Linked DNA regions of Mytilus edulis. The protein of the gene in region 1 purifies or fractionates together with the protein of each later gene. This does not show direct contact. Links are inferred from orthologs where the notes say so. Each region holds a gene or a part of one and is shown on either strand. Other genes may lie near its edges.

Region 1 (7,872 bases):
CATCTTAAAATTTGAAAAGCTTAGATTGAATGGTTCATGAGTAAATGCAACAACGTGAATGGAAACGCCATTTCACAATCTTTCAAGAACCATAACTCCTGAACGGTAAGAGTCAAAATCGTCATTATTGAACTTGACCTCTAATTTGCCATCAGTAACAACATATAAAAATTTCAAAAGCTTTGGTTGAATGGTTCATGAGAAAATGCACGGACACGACTGGAAACACCATTTTTCAATCTTTCAAGAACCATAACTCCTGAACGGTAAAAGTCAAAATCGTCATTATTGAACTTGACCTCTATTTTGTCATCAGTAACAACATATTAAAATTTGGGAAGCTTTGGTAAAACAGTTCATGCGTAAATGCACGAACACGACTGGAAACACCATTTTTCAATCTTTCAAGAACCATAACTCCTGAACGGTAAAAGTCAAAATCGTCATTATTAAACTTGACCTCCATTTTGTCATCAGTAACAACATATTAAAATTTGGGAAGCTTAGGTAGAACAGTTCATGCGTAAATGCACAGACACGACTGGAAACTCCATTTTTCAATCTTTCAAGAACCATAACTCCTGAACGGTAAAAGTCAAAATCGCCATTATTGGACTTGATCTCCATTTTGTCATCAGTAACAACATATTAAAATTTGGAAAGCTTAGGAAGAACAGTTCATGCGTAAATGCAGGGACACGACTGGAAACTCCATTTTTCAATCTTTCAAGAACCATAACTCCTGAACGGTAAAAGTCAAAATCACCATTATTGAACTTGACCTTCATTTAGTTGTCAGTAACAACATATTAAAATTTTAAAAGCTTTGGTTGAACGGTTCATGAGTTAATGCACGGACAACATTTGATTCCCACCCGCCCGCCCGACCGACCGCCCGCCCGACCGCCCGCCCGCCGTACATCCCCAAATCAATAACCGACATTTTTGTCACAAAAATCCGGTTAAAAAGGGCAATTTTACGCGTAAATTTATATCATTGAAAAAAGGGAATTATTTAAGCCTCATAATTAATTAGCACATAATTTTTATTATGCATTATTGAAACATCAAGTTTCAGTTAAAATGGAGTTGTGTAATTTAATTCTTTTGGCACAATTTTCTTTTTAGTAGACTTTATTAACGTACGGTTATGATGTTCAGACCCTCTTTCGGCCATATAATGTATAGTATGCTGTCTTGTTGTTTTCTATCTTGTCTTGTTGTTGCTGTCACTACAGCAGTCTGACCATTAAATGATTTTCTTATTTGGAATTCAAAAATTTGTAAACAAGTTAAAATTTTATGAATAAATTATCCCTACCTGACATATGTCCGTTAGGATTATCTCTGACATCTGACAGTCAGGTAGGTTTTTAATTTATGAAATTAAAATTTAAAAATTTGTAAACAAGTTAAAATTTTATAAATAAATTATACCTACCTGACATATGTCAGAGATAATCCTAACAGAAATATGTCAGGTAGGTTTTTAATTTATGAAATTAAAATTCTTCATTGCACTTGCAGTCTGCACCATAAACTTTTTCAACTACTAGTCCAAAGACCAATGTTTCGACATTTTTCTTATTGGTCCAAACAAAGTTTTGCAAAAACTTACTAGTCTGAATGAAATTTTACTAGTCTGGGGCATTGGACTAGTGACTAACCGTGAAGACTGCACTTGATAGATCAATTAATGGAAGTAAAGATGCAAAATATAATTTTCAAAATATTTATTTTTAAAGTGTATTCAATTGAAAATAATTTAAATTATTATTCTAATTATATGCATTTGCATTCAATTTGTTTAATATTTAATCTTTTACTTAAAGAAACATAAATTTAAATAATATATTGTGAACAGGTGATAAATAAATAAATAAATCAAATTGTTTGTCAAACTTTTTTGAAATACACCAATTATTCATGACCAAAAGCTAAGGTAATTGGTGTTAATTAAACAATGTGTTTGACACCAAAGCCGTCAGGTAAAGCCATACACTTAATGGGTCACTTAATTTGACAGCTTACACAGGTAGCTGAACTTCCTGTTCATGGAACAATTACGAAGTTACCGGTATTTTAAAGGCAGGAAAATGCTGATTTTTTGGTGATAAAAACGACAGGGCGCTCGAGGAATGACAGAAAAAAGGCAAGGGCGTCAATAAAAAAGGGTGGGCGCTGCGCCCTGTTCAAACTTTGTAGCTAGAACACTGCCTTTCTTAATAATCTGACAGAGGGCTTTCAGCAAATTTTCAACAGTTCTGATATTCAACATGTTCTAAAATCTCTTCAAATCATAAACTGTTTATCAAGTTTTTTAATAAATTTTTAGGTTTCGAGCATCACTTCAGACACACAAACAGGAGACATAACATCCAGTGCCAAATAGCTCATGCATTATTAATACACCTTATCATTATTTCTGGCTCACCTGAGAATCTGTCCATCTTGAACTATTGATGTCATACAATAATCACTTTTCCATTGTGGCGTCAGATATTGTGTAGTATGACGTCAAAATTTTACCGGAACCTGTGTAATGTCCAGAATGTATTGCTATTTGTCCGCCGTTACTGGATATCACAAAGGTTCCCGTAAAATTTTGACGTCATAAAACAAAATATCTGAAGCCCCAATGGAAAAGTGATTGTTGTATGCGTCAAAAGTTCAAGCGACCGGGTCAGCCAGGATTAGCGATAATGTGTATAGCATACAAATGGCACTGATATTTGTCCACCGTTACTGCCAATACTGGACATCACAAAAGTTCTTGAAAATTTTACGTCATACTAGAAAATATCTGATGCCACAATGGAAAAGTTATTGTTGTTAGGACATCAAAAATTCTAGTGGGGCTTCAGGTCAAGCGGGACAGGTTTTGTATTGTAGTAAAAAAACTTTTTGTAACTAAAATCAATAAGAATAAACAATAAATAGTTTATTTAAATTGGCATTTGATAAACCCAATCATTTTCCCCATTTTTTCCAACACCAACAGTCCAACCTCCCCCTTTTAACGTAGTAGTCTAAAAATAAATTAAAGATTTCCAGAAAGTTCTATTTGGGGATTCCCGGTGTTCCATGACGTCATTTGTTTCTGGAAAAGCGAAGCAAGTTCTTTAATTCTAGCATTTATTTATAATCTTTGAATGAAGTACTTAACACATGCTAAATAATTGAACATTATATAGGTTTAAATATACTTTACATTGTAAAAAGGAAGAAATATATCCAATTCACCATAAACGAAAGGGCTTTTTCGGAAAACACGCTCCGACATTTTTGGGGAACACCGTCAAAATATCTGAGATAAGACAAGTTGTTGCTAACCTAATTGAAAGAATCAAATAAAAAATTATTTCTTAACACGTGTATAGTCAATTTTTTATACCTATCTTCTGTTAAATCAACTACTTCGTCTTCAGTTGGTTGAGGGTCAACTTCCATCGTATCCACGTCCGTCATGATTGTTGTTGGTCTCGTGAGATTTGTGAACAAACTGGTTACTTTTTATTTGTTTGTATTCCCGTCTGTATTAGGTAGCAAGAAAGGCTGATTCAATACAGGGAACGAGCTTCTGTGACTACCTCAGTCAAGTGTTTTTATACAGGTGAGATTTGATATGTCAGTTATAATCTAAATATACAGCGAGGGAAAAAAATGCAGAGAAAACGTAAATTTCACGATAACGATTCTTACAAAGAAAAACAGGAAGATGAAGATAAATTGAAACGCGCAGTAAAAGACGGTGACGAAACAGCTGTAAGAAGGCTAGTGAAGGGAGGCGTTCTTGCTATTCGACAGCAAAAACTCTGGGTAACGCTCCTCAAACTTTCAGTCTTTTCAAATAAAATTCAATACTTTACTCTGTTACTTACATGTACTACCTAGTATAATTTTACGATTGGTGCAACTCACTCAGAAGTTGTGCGACAAGTCGGCCTGGAGTCTACATGAAAAGAAAACTCGGACCATTAAAGATATAATGACCAGCTCAGACTAAATATTACAAAAAAAATGTAATTAGAGTTTTGACAAGATGAATTATAGTTAACCCGTACCAAAGTAAACTCGTACCAACGTCAACTCGTACCACTAAAATAAACCTCGTACCAATGTAAACTCGTACCACTGCTAACTCGTACCAACTTATTTTAAAATGCATTTGATTGGTGTTTAATTATGAATAAAGTCTGTAAAATGTATATAATTTGAAAGTACAATGACCTATCTGTAGCTAATGTTCCATGTGTATTAGATATAGACAATACCTTGGCAGATTTGATTTGATGTCTCCCTTGAATCATTCTTTTTTAAACTTATACTGATAACCATTGGATTTAATTTTTAATCATTCCAAATCAGTTACATTGAATAGATTTGGATACTTTTCTTTTGTTTCTCAAAGGAATTTTATTCACCGAAAGAATTAATTTAGTGTGCTTTAAAGGTTGTAAATTGTTTATGACCAACATGTTAAAAGTATGAATTTTTTTATATATAATATTTTGCACAAGATAATGATTACCGATAGTGGTAGGGTTGCTTAGCCAGTCAAGGTCGTTAATTACTTCTATGTATTTAATGTTATCAAAATATGACAACTTCTTTTAAGATTTGAAGTAATGTCATGTTCATTTAATGTGTGAGATATGCATTGCTTTGATAAAGAGTAGTGACACCTTCAGAGGAAAGTAAATGATACCTGAAATCATCCTCAGATTAGTCTTTCGTTTGCTATGGTGTCACGGTCTTGTGTGCTATTATTTATTAGCCATGGCGTTTATTTCTTTTTATGAGTTTGACTGTCCATCCATGGTTCTAATGGTATTGTGAATAGCCAGTAGACGTAATGGTAGTGTTGGCAACTTGGCAGCATAATATTTTAAGTTTATTTCTATTTACGAGTTATGAGTTTGACTGTCCATCTATATTGTGAATAATGGTATTGTGAATGGCCAGTAGGCTTAATGGTAGTACTGGCAGAATAACAAAGAATATATATTTTATTTTGATGCTTTATTTACCACAATTTCAATAACAATCATCTATAAAAAATTAACAAAACATCAAATATTATTATTTTTTTCTCTCAAGAGATACACATACACCTTATGTTTTATTCACATCTATATCATCCTTTTACATTTAAGATTTCACATGGTATTACATTAATACAATAATGTTTTCAAAGATAACTGGCACTATTGTTACATATAGAAAAATAAACATTCAAGAAGCACTAATGGTCGCACTAATAGTCCATGTTCACTATAATCACATAATCAAAGGACTGTATTAATTTGATCACACAATCAAAGGAATATCATATATTTTAATTAGCAGGGCATTAAAATCCAGTATAAAATTACAGTAATTCAACTTTTTTTATTAATTTTAGAAAGAAGAAACACCACAAAAGATTCGTATTTTTTAATATATTTTTAATGGTACGACTTCCCAGTGGTACGACTTTACGTTGGTACGAGTTAACTTTTTTGGTACGAGTTAACATGGTACGAGTTTCCGTTGGTACGAGTTAACTTGCTTCCGACAAGATAAATAACTTCTCTCATAGTTCAGTCAAACTATGTTTTACTCTTAAACTATATGCAGAAGAAAATGTTTTAGTTCTAATCTATAGCATTATTAGTTCACCTGGCCTAAAAGGCCATGTGAGCTTTTCTCATCACTTGGCGTCCGTCGTCGTCGTCGTTAACAATTTTTCAAACATCTTCTCCTCTGAAACTACTGAATGGATTTGAATGAAACTTAACATGATTGTTCCTTAGTATATCCTGCACAAAATGTGCGCTTCGATTTTTTGATCCGTCAAAAAACATGGCCGCCGTTACTTAAAATAGAATATAGGGGTCAAATGCAGTTTTTGGCTTATATCCTAAAAAACGAAAGCATTAAGAGCAAATCTGACAGGGAGTAAAAATGTTCATTAGGTCAATATCTATCAGCCCTGAAATTTTCAGATGAATCAAACATCCAATTGTTGGGTTGCTGCCCTTAATTGGTAATTTTAAGGAAATTTTGCAGTTTTTGGTCATTATCTTGAATATTATTATAGATAAAGATAAACTGTAAACAGCAAAAAAGATCAGCAAAGTAAGATCTACAAATAAGTTCATATGACCAAAATTGTCAATTGACCCCTTAAGGGGTTATTGTCCTTTCATGACAATTTTTCACAATTTGTTTATCATATTTGCTAACTTTAAAAAATCTTCTCCTCTGAAACTACTGAATGGATTTGGTTAAAACTTAGCATGGTTGTTCCTTAGATTATCCTGCACAAAGTGTGTGCTTTGATTTTTGATCCGTCAAAAAACATGGCCGCCGTTACTTAAAATAGAACATAGGGGTCAAATGCAGTTTTTGGCTTATATCTCAAAAACGAAAGCATTAAGAGCAAATCTAACATGGAGTAAAAATGTTCATTAGGTCAATATCTATTAGCCCTGAAATTTTCAGATGAATCAAACATCCAATTGTTGGGTTGCTGCCACTTAATTGGTAATTTTAAGGAAATTTTGCAGTTTTTGGTCATTATCTTGAATATTATTATAGATAAAGATAAACTGTAAACAGCAAAGTAAGATCTACAAATAAGTTAATATGACCAAAATTGTCAATTGACCCCTTAAGGGGTTATTGTCCTTTAATGACAATTTTTCACAATTTGTTCATCATATTTGCTAACTTTAAAAAATCTTCTCCTCTGAAACTACTGAATGGATTTGGTTAAAACTTAGCATGGTTGTTCCTTAGATTATCCTGCACAAAGTGTGTGCTTTGATTTTTGATCCGTCAAAAAACATGGCCGCCGTTACTTAAAATAAAACATAGGGGTCAAATGCAGTTTTTGGCTTATATCTCAAAAACGAAAGCATTAAGAGCAAATCTGACAGGGAGTAAAAATGTTCATTAGGTCAATATCTATTAGCCCTGAAATTTTCAGATGAATCAAACATCCAATTGTTGGGTTGCTGCCACTTAATTGGTAATTTTAAGGAAATTTTGCAGTTTTTGGTCATTATCTTGAATATTATTATAGATAAAGATAAACTGTAAACAGCAAATATGATCAGCAATGTAAGATCTACAAATAAGTCAATTTGACCAAAATTGTCAATTGACCTCTTTAGGAGTTATTGCCCTTTAAAGACTTTTTTCACAATTTGTTCATCATGTTGACTTACTTTAAAAAATCTTCTCTTATGAAACTGCTGTATCAATTTCAGCCAAACTTAGGCTAAATGAGTTTCAGAGTTTCAGAGTATCTAGTATAAATTTTATATTTCATTTCCTTGTATGTCAAGAAACATAGCTCCTATGGCTAAAATAGAACATAGGAGAAAATGATTTTTTTTTGCTTTTGAAGAAAATAGGACGATTTAAAGAACATTTAAATAAATTGAAAAGCCAAAATAATCATTGATGAGAGATTAAACCAAAAAAATTCAGGTGAGCGATTCAGGCTCTTGAGAGCCTCTTGTTAAAACCCTAACTATACACAGAAAAAGGACCCAAAAAATCTAACTTGAGGAAAAATCCAAATCAGCATTTTGTATATATGGAAATTAACATTGGAAGGGGAGATACATTTGTAACTTCTCAAAAATGAGTCTTTTTTGTTGTTGCTTGATTTTCTTAAAATTTATGTAAAGTATGATACTTTGATCATTGTTGATGGGGTTATAAGTTCGTATAGTCTTCTGCTCACAAATCCGAAGTGTTATGGGTATATTTAAAAAAAATATGCATTTTTCATTAAAGAAATTGCAAATTTAGGCTTTGTGACTGTATTGAAAAAATAATGTGACAATTTGATATTGCTTAATACATCTGTATATTATA
Region 2 (8,450 bases), on another chromosome or scaffold:
TCTTCTTCATAAACAGTACTAGTACTATCATGTCCCTCGTCTTTCTTGGCTGGATCTAACGTACCATAATACAATGCCATACATAGTTCTATCAGTCTCTCAAACATTGGTAGTTGTGTATCAGTCAATGATACGTCTAAATGTTCACAAAACAGGTCAAACTTTGTTACACTCGCCCGCTTGGCATTAACAGAATCATATTTGGCGTACAACCTCCCTGTGACGGAGCACCTATAGATCAGTGGATCCTGGTAATGTTCTATCTTACCACTCTGGTCACATTTATCAAGGCACACCGTCAGATCACACAGGTTGATGGATTTCCTTAACACTAACTCAGGGGGAGATAACTCTATAAAGTCTCTGTCCCACTTCTCATCTGCGCTATATACCTCTGCTGATTTTATGTTTAAGGATAAAACAATGTCATCCTCGACAAACTTAACAATTAGATTATTGATGATGATGCTAACATTGTTGGCAATTTTATTCATCAAACTTTGTAAATATCCTGGTGGCAGATCTTCTTCACCCTGTTTCCTTGGTTTCAATGATGGCCTTGATTTTGACCGCCGTAAGTCAGACTTTGGTCCTTTGCTACTACCTTCATAAGGACTTTCTCTTAATTTCAGAATACATTCAATTGTGTTTATTGTTATCACAACAGGTTCAGATCCTAGTTTTGTCCACGGCACATGGATCCGTAACTCATGAATATGGCCACTTTTGAACACAATAGGGAGATGAATAGCCTTTTCTATGACATCCAAACGAAGGTCAAGATTATTGAGGACGACATCACCACCCCATAATGACAATTGAAAATCTTCAGGTCTAAGTTTGACATACTTGTCAACATAACCCATTAACAGGGGGCTGATGTAAGACTCTAACTTAAACATTGTTGTAACTAGAATCAAAACAAATTTATATTTTCTATGACCTTTGCCCTAGGTTATGACTTCTATCACCATTCCCTGTAACAATTGATGTAACTGTGTTGACAGCTTATCTTCCTATCAAGCAGCATTTTCAATGATTTAGTTCATGTATTATGTGTTGAGGAGCATTCGTCCTTTTCTTACAAAATATCTGCAAAAGAAAAAGAAAAAACACACTTTTTTAATATTTACTTAAAATTATATGGTAATTTTGAATTTCATAAATACACATTTGTTATAGTTTTTCCAAAGCAACCTAGGCATCAGGATAGTATACAGAATACTTTTATTACTCAAACAAACCTTGATATTTTATCAAAACTAATCTATACATGTATGACATGATGTGGAAAGGCACACATACATGTAATAATAATATTTTTGTCCACACATTTTTTTGTATACAGGGAGTATATTTTATCATTCATATGTTTTATTACATGGCAATCTATATTTTTAAAACAATATGACTTATTGCAGACATTGCACATACATGTACATGTATGCAACCGTTTAATAGTTCTGAGTTAGGGATTTAAATCTCTGTTTTGGACTCATCTTTTGCAATATCTTTCTATATTTATAACTGAAATCCCTATTGATCCAACATTTTAATGCTTAGACTTGAATATTTTTCATATAATAGGTGCCTGATCAACATAAAATATGGGACAACTTGGAGCCTGTTAACTTCAACTATCAATTAATGAGAAATATATACTATTGAATTTAAAAGATTTTACAGTGTAATGACTTTGAGTGTTAAAATTAAAATACACACCTATAGGAGATGATCATTTAATATTCTGGGGATTTCCTGCAGATTGACAATTTATATTCATCAATAATTTGCTAAGAAGACCCCTCCCCCTCAATAAAATGTATTCCCTTATTTTTATTGAAAGGTTACATACATTTGTATTATAATTTTAAGACTAGGCACCTGGTGTTCGTTGATTGTATGTATGTATGTACTGGTAAATGTCTCTGTTATCCGAAGAACCCTACCGAAAGCTTTAAGGATACAGTGCCATCTATGTACACTCCCTATCAGGATTACTGGAGATGTGTCACTAACGTCTATTTATACAACATTTATTTTAACAAGGACAATCAATCACCACCCAACACAAAGGGAGTGATAGGACACCGGTTAATCTGTAATTATGGTGGAGGAAGCCGAAGTACTCAGGTGGAAACAGACAAACCAGAAATATCAGAAGATTGATCTCCAGGTCAAAATAGGGGACAACTTTGACCAACCGAGGCCTTAAAGTACCCATTCTAGTTTAAACTCCGGTCTGGGTGAAAAATACCCTTCTGATGTAAAAAATGTACTGAAACTTTTAGCACCCCGAGTGAGAAATGAACTCGGACCTTCAGCACTGTAGCCATCAGTCTAAACCACTAGACCACGAACCAACATTGGTTATTGTTTGTTGATGTGATTAATAAGTGTTTCTTGGCTTTTTTTTTTTATAAATAAGACTTGGTTTTCCAGTTTGAATGGTTTTACACTAGTCATTTTTAAGGCCTTTTATAGCTTGCTGTTCGGTGTGAGCCAAGGCTCTGTGTTGAAGACTGTACTTCAACTTATGATTGTGACTTGGATAGCGAATTATCTCATCAGCACTCAGTCCAAATAATTATGACGTCTTGAAAGGCTATTATAATTTTTTCTTTGACGCCTTACTTCGACTAAACCCGTCAAAGAAAAAAATTATAATAGCCTTTCAAGACGTCATAATTATTTGGACTAATCAGCACTCATACAACATCTTATTAAGACTTTAGCCAATCTACTCTCTCAAGGCGTTATCAGGGCTCTGTCACCTTTACTGTATATCTACAACTTTCTCATACATATATAATTATATACATAACATTTGTACAGATGGATAAATTGTATTTGTATATTAAAGCGGGAAACTAATCCTTAAAAAGTTGATGGTATTCAGTAACTTAAGAAGAAGAAGAAGAAGAGGATGTTTTTGCTTTGAAGTTCAAAGAAGCAAAAACATCCTCCAAATATATATTTTTTTGAAGGCAGTTTAACTTTTAAATCAGTTATCATAGGTATGTTAGTCAATATAAAAAATATGTATAAATAGACGTATTGTTCATGTCAGTAAAATTGAGCTTCTGAATTTCTAACCCTTTTTGTTAATAAGTAAAACTGTATATTTACAGACGACCTGCCAACTCGACGATATACAACTTTTCCGAATGGTACATTCTTCGAAAAGATCCGAAATTTCCGCAACAGGATGTAGCGCGCGTAAAGGTGAAGCGAGTAGTTCTGGCTTGCTATAAAATGTGGACCAGTCGAACGTTAGGGTGAGTTTAAATATATATTTTATTTGCAAAACTAAAGTAGCAAAAGGGATTTGACACAAGTTATAACAACATACGTGATGTCCGCCCTAGGTTAGATCTAAGAGTGGAATACTCTTTATTCTTGGCAAGATTATTATATAAAAATAAACGTATTCTTAATTTCCAATAAACATTGATTTTATATAATACTATAATTATACCTTTTCTGGAATCATATGATTACTTTATTCTAAACATCGTTCATTTCTGTACAACGGTGTGCAAACAAAAATTAAATTAGAAGGACAATTCTTGCGTACTTTCCCAGAACTGCACTCGGGAATCGAGAAAAGGTGGTAAATGGTCCCCTGCTGATTTTTGTTGATTTTTTTTGTTGAAAATTTATGAAACTGAATGAACCGTGACAATTACTCATTATTAGGCGCACGTATAAGCTCAGTATTTGTTCATTGCAGCAGATGACGGAACCTTTATTTTGAAGGCACTGGCTACGGTTACATGGAAATGTAACAATAATAAAAATATTATTGTTACATTGGAGACTAAATGCCGGAATGCATGGTTGGGTAAGGACCTGTTTAATTACGAATGTAACAATAATTATTGAGGCTACGGTTACATTGCGTTATTGTTACATGAAAAAAATCAATGTACGATGGGACTAGTAATATATACTAAATAATAAAAGTTGAGGACATTTATTACATACCTTTATAACATACAATTTATTTACTGTAATTTTTTTTTATTTACAATGACAATTAATTATTTATACAAATCCAGTAAGTTGTATTTAAAGTCCGACACATTTCTACAAATCCAGTAAGTTGTATTTAAAGTCCGACACATTTCTACAAATCCAGTAAGTTGTATTTAAAGTCCGACAACTATTCAAGTTGTACACCATTTGTTGAATAATAATATTTTATTATTAATCAGTATTAAATTACGTACATTTTTGATGAACGAAATTACGTCCTCCACGGATACGTGTGCATACATAATTTCTTAGTATTTAAGTTACAGTTAGCAAACTTTGCTTTTGATTACCAATTTGCGTCAAGTTATAAAGCTGTATGAAAAGGATGTCTTGATATTGTTTCAGTTTCGTTTAAAACGCATCCCAAGTTTTATTTTTTTTCACCATACACAAAATTGGTCCAAAGTATAATGACAGTAATAAGAGTAGGTGTGCAGTTAAATACTTTAAAAAAGTGAAACCGTTGAACTATATTTTTCGCCTTTGACAGTCACACTCCTAATTTTGAGTAGTATCTTTAAGAACATCAAAACCATTAATACGTAGTAAAACTATTCAAGTTGTACACCATTTGTTGAATAATAATATTTTATTATTTATCAGTATTAAATTACGTACATATGAAAGAATGAAGCAATACAACTATAGAAGATTTAAGTTTAATCAATCTAGCGTACATTGCTGTTTTTCATGTAACAATAACGTAATGTAACCGTAGCCTCAGTAATTATTGTTACATTTGTAATTAATCGGTTCCTCACCCAACTTTGCATTCCGGCAATTAGTCTCCAATGTAACAATAATATTTTTATTATTGTTACATTTCCATGTAACCGTAGCCAGTGCCTATTTTGAATGATCTGATGAAACTTAAGTTTAAAACACATATTTCTTTGGGTCCTACTAAAATGCGCCCGGGAGCGCCCGGGAGAAGAAAAAGCGCCCGAGGAAAAGAAAAAGCGCCCGGGGAAGACAAAATAGTGCCAGGGGAAAAGAAAAGGCACCCGGGGAAAATATATAAATATTTTATTGGAATGAGACAACTTTGTCATGTTTGTGTCGATGAAATAAGTTATGCACATTGATTTGTTTTTAATTTTAGACAAGTAATTTGCAATTTCAGATAATAGACATTTGTAGTAAAGCACAAAAACAATTATGAATGTTTCAATTTTAACAATACTGAATATATGAATACTATTTCGAAAGACAGATAATAATGGATCACAGTTTATGCGGAAGATTTATAAAATGTAATGTAACGTTTTTCGTTTATTACATGCATCATTGGGTTTTATTATCATGGTATAATTAGATTACTTATTCTAATTAACTGTTATAAAGTAATTCCTTACACATGTTACAATCTATGTGTATCGCCTTCAATCAGATTGTACTTGTTAAATGTCAAATCAATCATGTTAATCAGCTGGTGCCCCTTTGCTAAGTTGATGCAGGTGTCTCAGTTGACCTCAGTTTCGATTGACCTTAGCTCCGGGCTCCGGGCTCCGGGCTCCGGGCTCCGGGCTCCGGGCTCCTGTAATTTAGCTCCTGTAGAATATTTCTTTGTTCAGAGTCATTTAACCATATTGTAATCAGGTTATTAGAGTAGTATAAAAGAGAGAAATAGTTGTAGATACGAGATACGATATACGAGGAGAGACGATTTTGTGTACGAGAGGTGCATATGTAGGAGATTTAGGATTATACCACCGTATTGTTGAGCCTGCAGTTTAGATGTTGTAAACTTGTATTACTGTTACATGTACTTTGGATTTTGAATAATACAGTATTGAACTTTAATCGACTTTGTGTTTATGTTAACTTGCAAGACTTCGTTCAGACTACACCAGGATCCATTTATTTATTTATGTGACCAGGATTCCCTTAATCACGCTACCAGAGATTTTTTAGGGTTACACTGTTAAAGAGTATACTTGGCATTTGTCGTCTGTGGACGTGTGAAACGTAGACACCAAACAACAAAGCACAAACACAAGAATACACACTTTAGTTTAAGTCCCCATACTTAAACACTTTTTCGTCACAGTAACTTCAAAAGACACGTTTCTGAAAAACGATATCAAAATGAAAAATGTAAAAAACAACTTAAATTTCAAAGATAAATATTAATTTAATCAAAATTAAAAGAGTTACACATAATGAATCAGCAAATAAAGCAGTACTATACATGTACCGTAGTTAAATCAAGGGGTAAAAAGCAGGAGCTTTGGTTTAAATTTTAAAAAACTATAGCATTAAAATCCTAATAAGCATAGCCATTCGGAAACAGTTTTAGTTTTATAAAAAGATAAATCTAGATCAACATTTGCATAAAAAAAGTGTTCACCATGCAGTTGCGAAAATATTAGACATCAGACACTGATTATTTACAAAACAAGTGAATGATTATTTTTTTTATTTGTTATAAAATATTATCATTTTATTCTCCCGGGCGCTAATTTTCCTTCCCCAGGCGCTTTTTCTCTCCCCCCCCCCCCCCGGGCGCATTTTCTTTTCCCGGGCGCTATCGGGCGCGTTTTAGTAGGACCGATTTCTTTAAATTCGTATTTCGTCTGCTTGGCATGTAAGATCACGTAACTTCTAGTTTAGTGCTTTGCTTATTTGTTCTATGCTTTTATGTATAAACATTTTGCATACATTACAATAAAGCTTTCTTACTTAGCATGTCTATATAAAATTGAGAAGGAGAATAGTAACGGGAATGTTAATTTTGTGTATGTTTTATATCCGTATTCTATTCTATAATATTTCAATCTAGTCTTTTCCACATTATACTCTATTCTATTTTAGTCTAGTCTATTCTAGTTTAGTATGTTCTATTCTATGAATTTCATTCTATTCCCGTTCTAACTTCTAGAAATCGCGAGATCGGCTTCAATTTTTGGTGGAGTGTAACTAGTGTGTCTGCAAGATCAATCTGGTCTCTGAATTACATTTCAATTTTTTGCATGAATATAATTGACATATTCAGTTATCTATCATACATGTTTACACTGCAGTGTAGGGTTTGGAGCTTTCATACATTTTTATTCATGCCTTCGATTTGTAAACTGCAGTGGGGTTTTATAGTTTCAATGTGAACACTTCGTTAGTGCTTTAGAGTTTCGATGTGTACAATGCAGCAGGGTTTTAAAGTTTCAATACATAATGTTTCATCATTCTATCGCCATGTATACTTCAGTGGAAATTTTAGAGTTTCAATGCATGTTTTTTATGGGCTTTTTTAAATCATTCCATGTGTATACTGCAGGTTATTTTTCGAATTTCAATACATCATTATTCATTGATTGTGTGCACTAAATTGATTTTTTATTAAAGTTTCCATATCATTACACTGCAATGATGTTGAAGAGTTTCCATGTATAAGGGAGCACCCATTTAACTATTAAAAGTGGGGTTATGGTTTATTTTTAGTCAAAAACTTGAAATTATTTTGTTTTTTCACCTCTTTCAATCAAATTATTTTGTTCGGCAAAATTTAATATTATAATCTATGGGGGAAAATCTGGATTCAGAAATTTTTTTCATCAATTTGGGCATTGGAATGTTTTTATAGGAATCAAAAACCACATCCCAAAACCCCTTGAAGTTAAATGTTAGTTCCTTAAACTACTAAACTTTGGGTTTGAGGGTTTCCATGAGTACACTGCTTTGCTGGTATGTTTAGAGTTTCCATGTGAACAATACATTAGGATTTTTAGGATTTCCATGTGTACACTGCAGAGCCTTTTTAAGTGTGATTTTTTTTAATTTTCTATGTGTACACTGCAGTTGAATTTTTAAATTTTCCATGCGTACATGGCATTCGGTTTTGGGGTCACCATGTGTAAACTAAGTATGATTTAATGAGTTTCCATGTGGACTGCAGTGGGATTTTTAGGATTTCTATTTGTAGAATGCATTGGGATTTTTATGTTTTTCATGTGTACACTACAGTGGGATTTGAACGGTTGCCATGCGTACATTGCAGTGTGGTTTTAAAGGTTTCAATGTTTTTTTTAATTTTCCGATTATTCACTAGACAGACTAAGTACTGCAGTTTTATTTATATAGTTTCGATGTGTTGACTCCAATGGGATTTTTAGAGTTTCTATGTGTACACGGCAATGGGGATTTAGAGTTTCTATGTGTACACGGCAATGGGATTTTTAGAGTTTCTATGTGTACACGGCAATGGGATTTTTAGAGTTTCTATGTGTACACGGCAATGGGATTTTTAGATCGAGTTTCTATGTGTACACGGCAATGGGGATTTAGAGTTTCTATATGTACATCGTAGTATGATGTCCAGGTGTACACTGCATTGGGAATCCGATTTTTAAGGTTTCAATTAAGGTGTACACTAAAGTGATATTTTTACGGATTTTATGTGTACACTGCAGTAGGAT
Region 3 (8,370 bases), on another chromosome or scaffold:
GCTTCAATTTATTGATTCTATATTTGGTGTATTGTTTTATCATGACAAGTTACAGATCAAGTTCGATTTTCACGATTAAAATTTTTGATACTTATTAATTACTAGATTTCTGTTCAAAGGGAAAAACCTCATTTTTAAAAAGATTTGTAAAAGACATTGTATTAAGATAAATTACATTTTGGATTTTTTTCCCTTTTCTTTAGTAAATTGTTAGGAGAACTTAGTGGTAGGTTTGTTTGTTATTTTATGTAGTTTACTCCACGTCGATGACAAGTTATAGACTCAAGTTAGAATTCCATTCCATTACAATTTACAATGATTTTTTAACTGATAAGGGGACTATGTACAAAAGTTAATAACAAGTTCTTTGATAGTAGTAAGGGAGTTAGTTAGAAGTACAGATAGATAAGTACTAGATGCAGAGATTGAACGGAATTGAATGTGTTTTTCTTACTATTTAGTGATAGAACATCATCTACATAGGCTATAGCAGAAAGTACTGCTAACTTCTTTTCGTTCTTCATAAGAACTGAAGTTCCTGTATTAAGTCAGTCTCACACGAATAAAGGAACAAGTCGGCAAGTTCCCATGCAAATGCAGATTGTTTGTTTTTAAAAAACAAACATGTCATACAAACGTAATGAATATATTGTCATTCAAATCAAGCATCTAGATGTCAGTTTCAGACAATTGTTTGTTTGAATCAAAGTGTTTTTTTTTCAAAGTATGATTTATCCCTCCCTAAGACAAAATACTTGTATTTACGTTGGTCATACTTTTTTATGAATAAAAGCAGAACCAATACTTTCAATTTGTCTTTTAGTTTGGAATGGGGAAAACTTGTGTAAAGTGCAGAAAAGACAAATGCACTAATTCTATTGCAAAATGAAAGAGTCTTGGTACCCGGCCACTTCCACTCTGTGTTTTTGATAGATGTATCTACACTTGTATCCTTCTAATGATTTAAGCCTTTTTCAACTCATTTTTATTATTCGTTTTTGTTTTATACTGTTACACCACTGTCCCAGGTTAGGGGAGGGTTAGGATCCCGGTAACAAGTTTAAAACATCCACATTGTGTTTGTAGGTGCCTGTCCGAGGTCAGGAGCCTGTAATTCAGGGGTTGCCAATTGTTGAACAGAAGAGAAAAAAATCTGAAAAAAACATGACTTCCTCGGTCTTTTCTCGCGTTAGAGTATTTCAATTCCAAATTCAATTCCATTATCAATTCATATCTTATTCCTATTCCTTTTCCTATACCCGACCATATTCCTATTCCAATTCATTTTCCTATTAATAATCCTATTCCTATTCCTATTCCTAATCCTGATCCTGATCCTGATCCTGATCCTGATCCTGATCCTGATCCTGATCCTGATCCTGATCCTGATCCTGATCCTGATCCTGATCCTGATCCTGATCCTGATCCTGATCCTGATCCTGATCCTGATCCTGATCCTGATCCCGTGATCCTAATCCTAATCCTAATCCTATTCCTAATCTTATTCCTCTTTTTATTCCAATTCCTATTCCAATTCCAATTCATATTCAAATTCATATTCAAATGCATATTCTTAATCCTATTCATATTCCTAATGCTATTCATATTCCTAATCCTATTCCTATTATTATTCCTATTCCTGATCAGGGGCGGATCCAGCCATTTTAAAAAAGGGGGTTCCCAACCCAGGGTAAAAAGGGGGGGGGGGGTGTCCAGCTATATGCTCCCATTCAAATACATCGGCCAAAAAAAAGGGGGGTTCCAACCCCCGGACCCCCCCCCCCCCCTCTGGATCCGCGCCTGCTGATCCTATTACAATTCGAATTCATTACCTATTCAAATTCATATTCCAATTCAATTTCCTATTCTATTCCTATTCGAATTCATTTACCTATTACTTATCCTTTTCCAATTCCTAATCATACCGTATAGCGGGTTATTTTCGCGGGTGTAAAAATTCGCGATTTTCATTGAAAAATGTATTCGAAATATTTTGACGGTTATTATTTTAGCGGACTCAAATTTTTGTTATCAATATCTTAGCCTGTGCACTTTTAAATTGGCGGAATTTATTTTGGTGATTTTGGTTCTTTCCGCGAAAATAAGCGAAAATTCACACCCGCGAAAATAACCCGCTATACGGTATTCCTATTTCAATTCGAATTCATATTCATATTCTTATTGCTATTGTTATTTCAATTTTATTCCAATTGCTATTGCTATTGCTATTGCTATTGCTATTGCTATTCCAATTCCTATCCTATTCCTATTCCTATTCCTTTTCCTATTCCAATTCCAATTCCTATTCCAATTTCAATTTATATTCATGTTACTTCTCATATTCCTATTCCTAATTCCTATTCCTAGTCCTATTCCTATTCCTATTCCTATTCATAATTCCTCTTCCTATTCCTAATCCTATTCCTATTCCTACTCCTAATTCCTAATTCCTAATTCCTAATTCCTATTCCTATTCCTAATTCCTATTCCTATTACCATTCCCATTCCCATTCCCATTCCCATTCCCATTCCTATTCCTATTCCAATTCCTATTCCTATTTCAATTTATATTGCTGTTACTTCTCATATTCATATTCCTAATCCTAATCATAGTCATATTTTAATTCCTATTCCTATTCCTATTGGTATTGACATTGTCATTTGCATTGTAATTGTCATTGACATTGACATCAACATTGACTTCGAATATTGTAATCAGTTGACATCTTATTTCTATTTCGTTTCCTATTCTAATTCCTATACCTATTCCAATTCACACTCCCATTCCCATTGCTATTGCTATTGCTATTGCTATTGCTATTCCTTATTCCTATTCCTTTTCCTATTCCTATTCCTATTCCTATTCCTATTCCTATTCCTATTCCTATTCCTATTCCTATTCCTATTCCTATTCCTATTCCTATTCCAATTCTTATTTCAATTATAATTCCAATTCCAATCCCAATCCCAATTGACATTGCATTGACATTGACATTGATTGGCATCAACAGTGACGTAGACAGTGACATTGGTATTGGTGTTTTATTGATATTGGTTTTATATTGTATTGTATTTGTATTTGTATTTGTATTAATTGTATTGGTATTATATTGGTATTGGTATTGTATTGGTATTATATTGATATTGGTATTGGTATTGGTATTGGTATTGTGTATTGTATTGTATTGTATTGTATTTTATTAAATGATATGAGCAAATAAGCCCTAATACGGATAAATCAGCATGTGCAATACTAAAAACGTTCCACTGTCGATATAAATCAAGAGTTAATATTGCTCTTCGAACAGGGCCAATACGGAAAAAAACAGGGCCAATACAGAAAAAAGCGGGAAAAAAGTCGTATTAGCCCTAGGGCTAATACAGGACGTTCACTTCCGGTTTTCAATTTTCTTACGCCATTACTTTACTCTTGAAGTATCGTTATGCATAAAAACATTTGTATAATATTTTTTAAATTAAAGTAATAAAATAAACAGGTTAAATGATGTGCAATGTTTTGTAATGTCTTAATGTTTTCAAACGGAAAAAACAGGGCAATTACAGAAAAAAGCGGGAAAAAAGCTGTATTGGCCCATGGGCTAATACGGGACGTTCACTTCCGGTTTTTAATTCTCTTATAATCATTTAATAAAGGCACTGGCTACGGTTACATGGAAATGTAACAATAATAAAAATATTATTGTTACATTGGAGACTAAATGCCGGAATGCATGGTTGGGTAAGGACCTGTTTAATTACGAATGTAACAATAATTATTGAGGCTACGGTTACATTGCGTTATTGTTACATGAAAAAAAGCAAAGTACGATGGGACTAGTAATATGTACTAAATAATAAAAGTTGAGGACATTTATTACATACATTTATAACATACAATTTATTTACTGTAATTTTTTATTTACAATGACAATTTCTACAAATCCAGTAAGTTGTTTTTAAAGTCCGACACATTTTTGATGACCGAAATTACGTCCTCCACGGATACGTGTACATACATAATTTCTTAGTATTTTTTTTAAGTTACAGTAAGCAAACTTTGCTTTTGATTATCAATTTGCGTCAAGTTATAAAGCTGTATGAAATGTATGTCCTGATATTGTTTCAGTTTCGTTTAAAACGCATCCTAACTTTTATTTTTTTCACCATAAACAAAATTGGTCCAAAGTATAATGACAGTAATAAGAGTAGGTGTGCAGTTAAATACTTCAAAAAAGTGAAACCATTGAACTATATTTTTCGCCTTTGACAGTCACACTCCTAATTTTGAGCAGTATCTTTAAGAACATCAAAACCATTAATATGTAGTAAAACTATTCAAGTTGTACACCATTTGTTGAAAAATAATATTTTATTGTTTATCAGTATTAAATTACTAGTATTGTTTAGTACATATGAAAGAATGAAGCAATACAACTATAGAAGATTTAAGTTTAATCAATCTAGCGTACATTGCTGTTTCATGTAACAATAACGTAATGTAACCGTAGCCTCAGTAATTATTGTTACATTTGTAATTAATCGGTTCCTCACCCAACTTTGCATTCCGGCAATTAGTCTCCAATGTAACAATAATATTTTTATTATTGTTACATTTCCATGTAACCGTAGCCAGTGCCTTTAATAAAAGTGTTATGAACTGGCTGTTTCTGTATTGGCACTGGTATAGATTCTCGGTCAGCTGTATTGGCCCTCGACCCTACGGGGTCGAGGGCCAATACAGCTGACCGAGAATCTATACCAGTGCCAATACAGAAACAGCCAGTTAATAACACTATAGTATTGTATTGTATTGTATTGTATTGTATTGTATTGTATTGTATTGTTTATTGTTCTATGATTTCATTAGGGAGCTACCATTTGATTTTTATTGGGGGGCTATGAAATTTGAAAAAAAATAGGCAGGACAGTAGTTTTGAGTAAAAAAAAAAGGCAGGATGAGACACTTGCAAAAAAAAAAAGTCAGGACGACAATTTAGGTAAAAAAAAGTCAGAATAAACTAAAAAAAAAAAGGCAGGACCGAACAGAGTGAAAAATAAAAAGGCAGGACAGAGATTACAGCTAAAAAAAAATGCAGGACAAAATTTTTCATCCTAGCCCCCCCATAAAAATCAAATGGTAGCTCCCTTAGTTCAAGAGGTGTATGTAATATGCGCATTTAAATGATCTATTTTAATTTTTTATGCGCATATCACAGATTAAAGCTGCAAGTCGTTTTTATTGACGAAAACTACCAAGGCGTTCCGGAATATCAAAGGGAGGTAAATATACTGGTCACTGTTCCTTCTTCTCGGTACGAAGAAATTTCTTTTTCAGGGAATCAGTCGACAAAAACTAATGGATAATGCTAAGTGAGTTCCGATAAGTACGAATGACTCTAGAAAATTCGGTTTCAATAATTGAGAAAACATAGGAAAACGCTGTAGCCTGTAGGAATATGTCATCCGAAAATCAGAAAAAGGTAAGATTAGGTTGAAGAGACAACCAGTTGTATGCCATGAGTATGGTTAACCACAACGAATTCTGTTGAATTTGTCTGCACGTGTTTTACACTAACTGGAAAACCGGCACCTAGCACACATATCAATGAAAAAAAAAGTAAATACAAACTTTTAACTGCAAGCTCACGTGGAAATGCCACCATGATTTAACATGATACCATGGAGTCGCACTTCATGTAAACCTATCAGTATCAGAGTAACCCAAATAGGTTTATAATATATATATATATTTCAAGTTGTTCCAGCTTAAAGTCGATCAGATTGTTATTAACCTTATTATAACTCATTTTGGTGAATGATACAAATCTGTTTATTACCTCCCTCAACTTGCAAAGAAATTTTTCTGTTTCCGCTGAGTGTCGCAGTGGTTCTCTCCTAGTTCTCGGCTTCCTCTACCATAATAACAGACTTCCCAATGTCCTAGCACTCCCTAAAAGTTGTATTGGAGTGGGGGTTGTCCTTGTAAATATTGTTGTGACACATATCAATTAATGCTGAAAGTGATAGGGAGTTTACATGGATTCTGAAAACGGAGGATTCTACCAGTACATAGTTATACACTTGATCACGATTTTTTTTGTAAACAACCTTCATTTGATAAGGACCACAGGCCTCGACAATAACGCTTGTCTGATTGTCTGGTACCAGAGGTAAAAAAGGTCGGACAGGTAAAAGCTATACCAAGCTTGTCCGATGGGACAAGTAGAATCATTCTGCAGAAAATAAATTTTAATCCAACTTTGATGAACAAAGTATAATTATTAACAAAAAAACAAGAAAAGAAGATTTGTTTGACATCTTTCCTTTTTAAACTGAAACTAATTGAAACTTTTTATTTCTTAGTCGAATAATAAAATTAGACCCCTCAGACTTGCAATCGATAATTTAAACTGGTTCTTTGTCAAGTACTTTTAACAGGTAAAAAGCACACTTTTCTCGGAAACCAGTCTTACAGATCCAATTCAACCATGGGCATTTTAGATAAGGTAACTTTAAAAGACAGTTCGTCAACAGCTCGGAAATGATTCGGCTCCAAGTTTAATAGACAGTTGGGCACTGTAGGAGACATATTTCATAAACATGATTAATAGACAGTTTGGCAAGGCAGTAGACATTTCTGGACCAAGACAAATCAGAACTTCTTTTCCTACCTTATTTTGTTGCTCTATAATAATTAATACCGATGTCCATAACGTATTTTTTAAATAAGAATGAGGAAATTATTTACCATAAAAATCATCAAATCATGTTTGATCTTTATGTAGAAAAAACAATACCAATGCAATGCAGTGACCTATAAGTGTTAATTTCTGTGTCATTTGGTCTTGTGTCAAATTGACAATCATGCCTCATATTCTTTTTATTGATTGCATTTGAATAAACTTTTTTCAACTTTTAAAAAAATGGATAAAAATCCAATGAGTGTACATTTAGAGGCCAATCAGATGGTGCCTCATGTGCAAAGTATGATGAGACTTTAGCATTGATAAAAACTAGAACCTAAGTCCTGTGACACAACTCAATTCAGTTGTTCATGGCTCATATCTTTTAAAAGTATTTCAAAGGATATAAATCAAATTCTGTTCAATTTTTTTGTAATTCATTTTGTTCCTTGAATCAACTTGAAATGCAAAAAAGGTTAATATTAAGATTTGTTTTGGACAAGTTACAAGTAAGTTTTGGAATGTACTTGTCCTACTGGACAAGTTGAAAAAAAAGTTATTGTAGAGGCCTGGACCATAAAGTCAAGTGTATAGTTATCTACTGAATAGTGTTGCAGATCCCCTCAATAGGTACTATACAAGCTAAATGTCTTTTTTTTTTTTTTCTTTCTTAAATCCATCTTTAAATTAAATCATAAAATGCATTGAAGATCATTCCAAGAAAAGTATATATGTGTTTTTAGCTCACCTGGCCTAAAAGGCCAAGTGAGCTTTTCTCATCACTTGGCGTCCGGCGTCCGGCGTCGTCGTTAACTTTTACAAAAATCTTCTCCTCTGAAACTACTGGCCCAAATTAAACCAAACTTGGCCACAATCATCATTGGGGTATCTAGTTTAAAAAATGTGTCCGGTGACCCGACCAACCATCCAAGATGGCCGCCATGGCTAAAAATAGAACATAGGGGTAAAATGCAGTTTTTGGCTTATAACTCAAAAACCAAAGTATTTAGAGCAAATCTGACATGGAATAGAATTGTTAAACAGGTGAAGATCTATCTGCCCTGAAATTTTCAGATGAATCGGATAACCCGTTGTTGGGTTGCTGCCCCTGAATTAGTAATTTTAAGGAAATTTTGTTGTTTTTGGTTATTATCTTGAATATTATTATAGATAGAGATAAACAGTAAACAGCAATAATGTTCAGCAAAGTAAGATTTACAAATAAGTCAACATGACTGAAATGGTCAGTTGACCCCTTTAGGAGTTATTGCCCTTTATAGTCAATTTTTAACTATTTTTCGTAAATCTTAGTAATATTTTACAAAAATCTTCTCCTCTGAAACTACTGGGCTAAATTAATCCAAACTTGGCCACAATCATCTTTTGGGTTAGTAGTTTGAAAAATGTGTCCAGTGACCCGGCCATCAAACCAAGATGGCCACCATGGCTAAAAATAGAACATGGGGTAAAATGCAGTTTTTGGCTTATAACTCAAAACCCAAAGCATTTGGAGCAAATCTGACATGGGGTAAAATTGTTTATCAGGTCAACATTTATCTGCTATGAAATTTTTAGATGAATCGGACAACCCGTTGTTGGGTTGCTGACCCTGAATTGTTAGTTTTAAGGAAAATTTTGCTGTTTTTGGTCATTATCTTGAATATTATTATCGATAGAGATAAACTGT

The links. The genes of interacting proteins can lie anywhere in the genome.
Region 2: the proteins of dnaJ homolog subfamily C member 7-like (region 1) and intermembrane lipid transfer protein VPS13B-like purify together in Homo sapiens (co-immunoprecipitation; 3 studies listed by BioGRID and IntAct, counting the BioPlex papers as one, with this or other methods). This does not show direct contact. The link is inferred for Mytilus edulis from reciprocal best matches to the Homo sapiens genes DNAJC7 and VPS13B.
Region 3: the proteins of dnaJ homolog subfamily C member 7-like (region 1) and stress-induced-phosphoprotein 1-like purify together in Homo sapiens (affinity purification with mass spectrometry; 4 studies listed by BioGRID and IntAct, with this or other methods). This does not show direct contact. The link is inferred for Mytilus edulis from reciprocal best matches to the Homo sapiens genes DNAJC7 and STIP1.

Annotation. Positions count from the first base shown.
Region 1 is NC_092357.1:50,580,983-50,588,854, forward strand, and holds the start of dnaJ homolog subfamily C member 7-like, read right to left. Parts: upstream 3,504-7,872; 5' UTR 3,469-3,503; coding exon 3,395-3,468; intron 1-3,394. Other genes in the region: putative ankyrin repeat protein RF_0381, read left to right, coding at 3,664-3,819. UniProt on the Homo sapiens protein: Acts as a co-chaperone regulating the molecular chaperones HSP70 and HSP90 in folding of steroid receptors, such as the glucocorticoid receptor and the progesterone receptor.
Region 2 is NC_092355.1:81,121,536-81,129,985, reverse strand, and holds the start of intermembrane lipid transfer protein VPS13B-like, read right to left. Parts: upstream 3,170-8,450; 5' UTR 3,097-3,169; intron 1,093-3,096; 5' UTR 903-1,092; coding exon 1-902. UniProt on the Homo sapiens protein: Mediates the transfer of lipids between membranes at organelle contact sites. Binds phosphatidylinositol 3-phosphate. Functions as a tethering factor in the slow endocytic recycling pathway, to assist traffic between early and recycling endosomes.
Region 3 is NC_092346.1:83,738,285-83,746,654, reverse strand, and holds the start of stress-induced-phosphoprotein 1-like, read left to right. Parts: upstream 1-5,201; 5' UTR 5,202-5,456; coding exon 5,457-5,480; intron 5,481-8,370. Other genes in the region: putative per-hexamer repeat protein 5, read right to left, coding at 1,282-1,525, 2,764-3,029. UniProt on the Homo sapiens protein: Acts as a co-chaperone for HSP90AA1. Mediates the association of the molecular chaperones HSPA8/HSC70 and HSP90.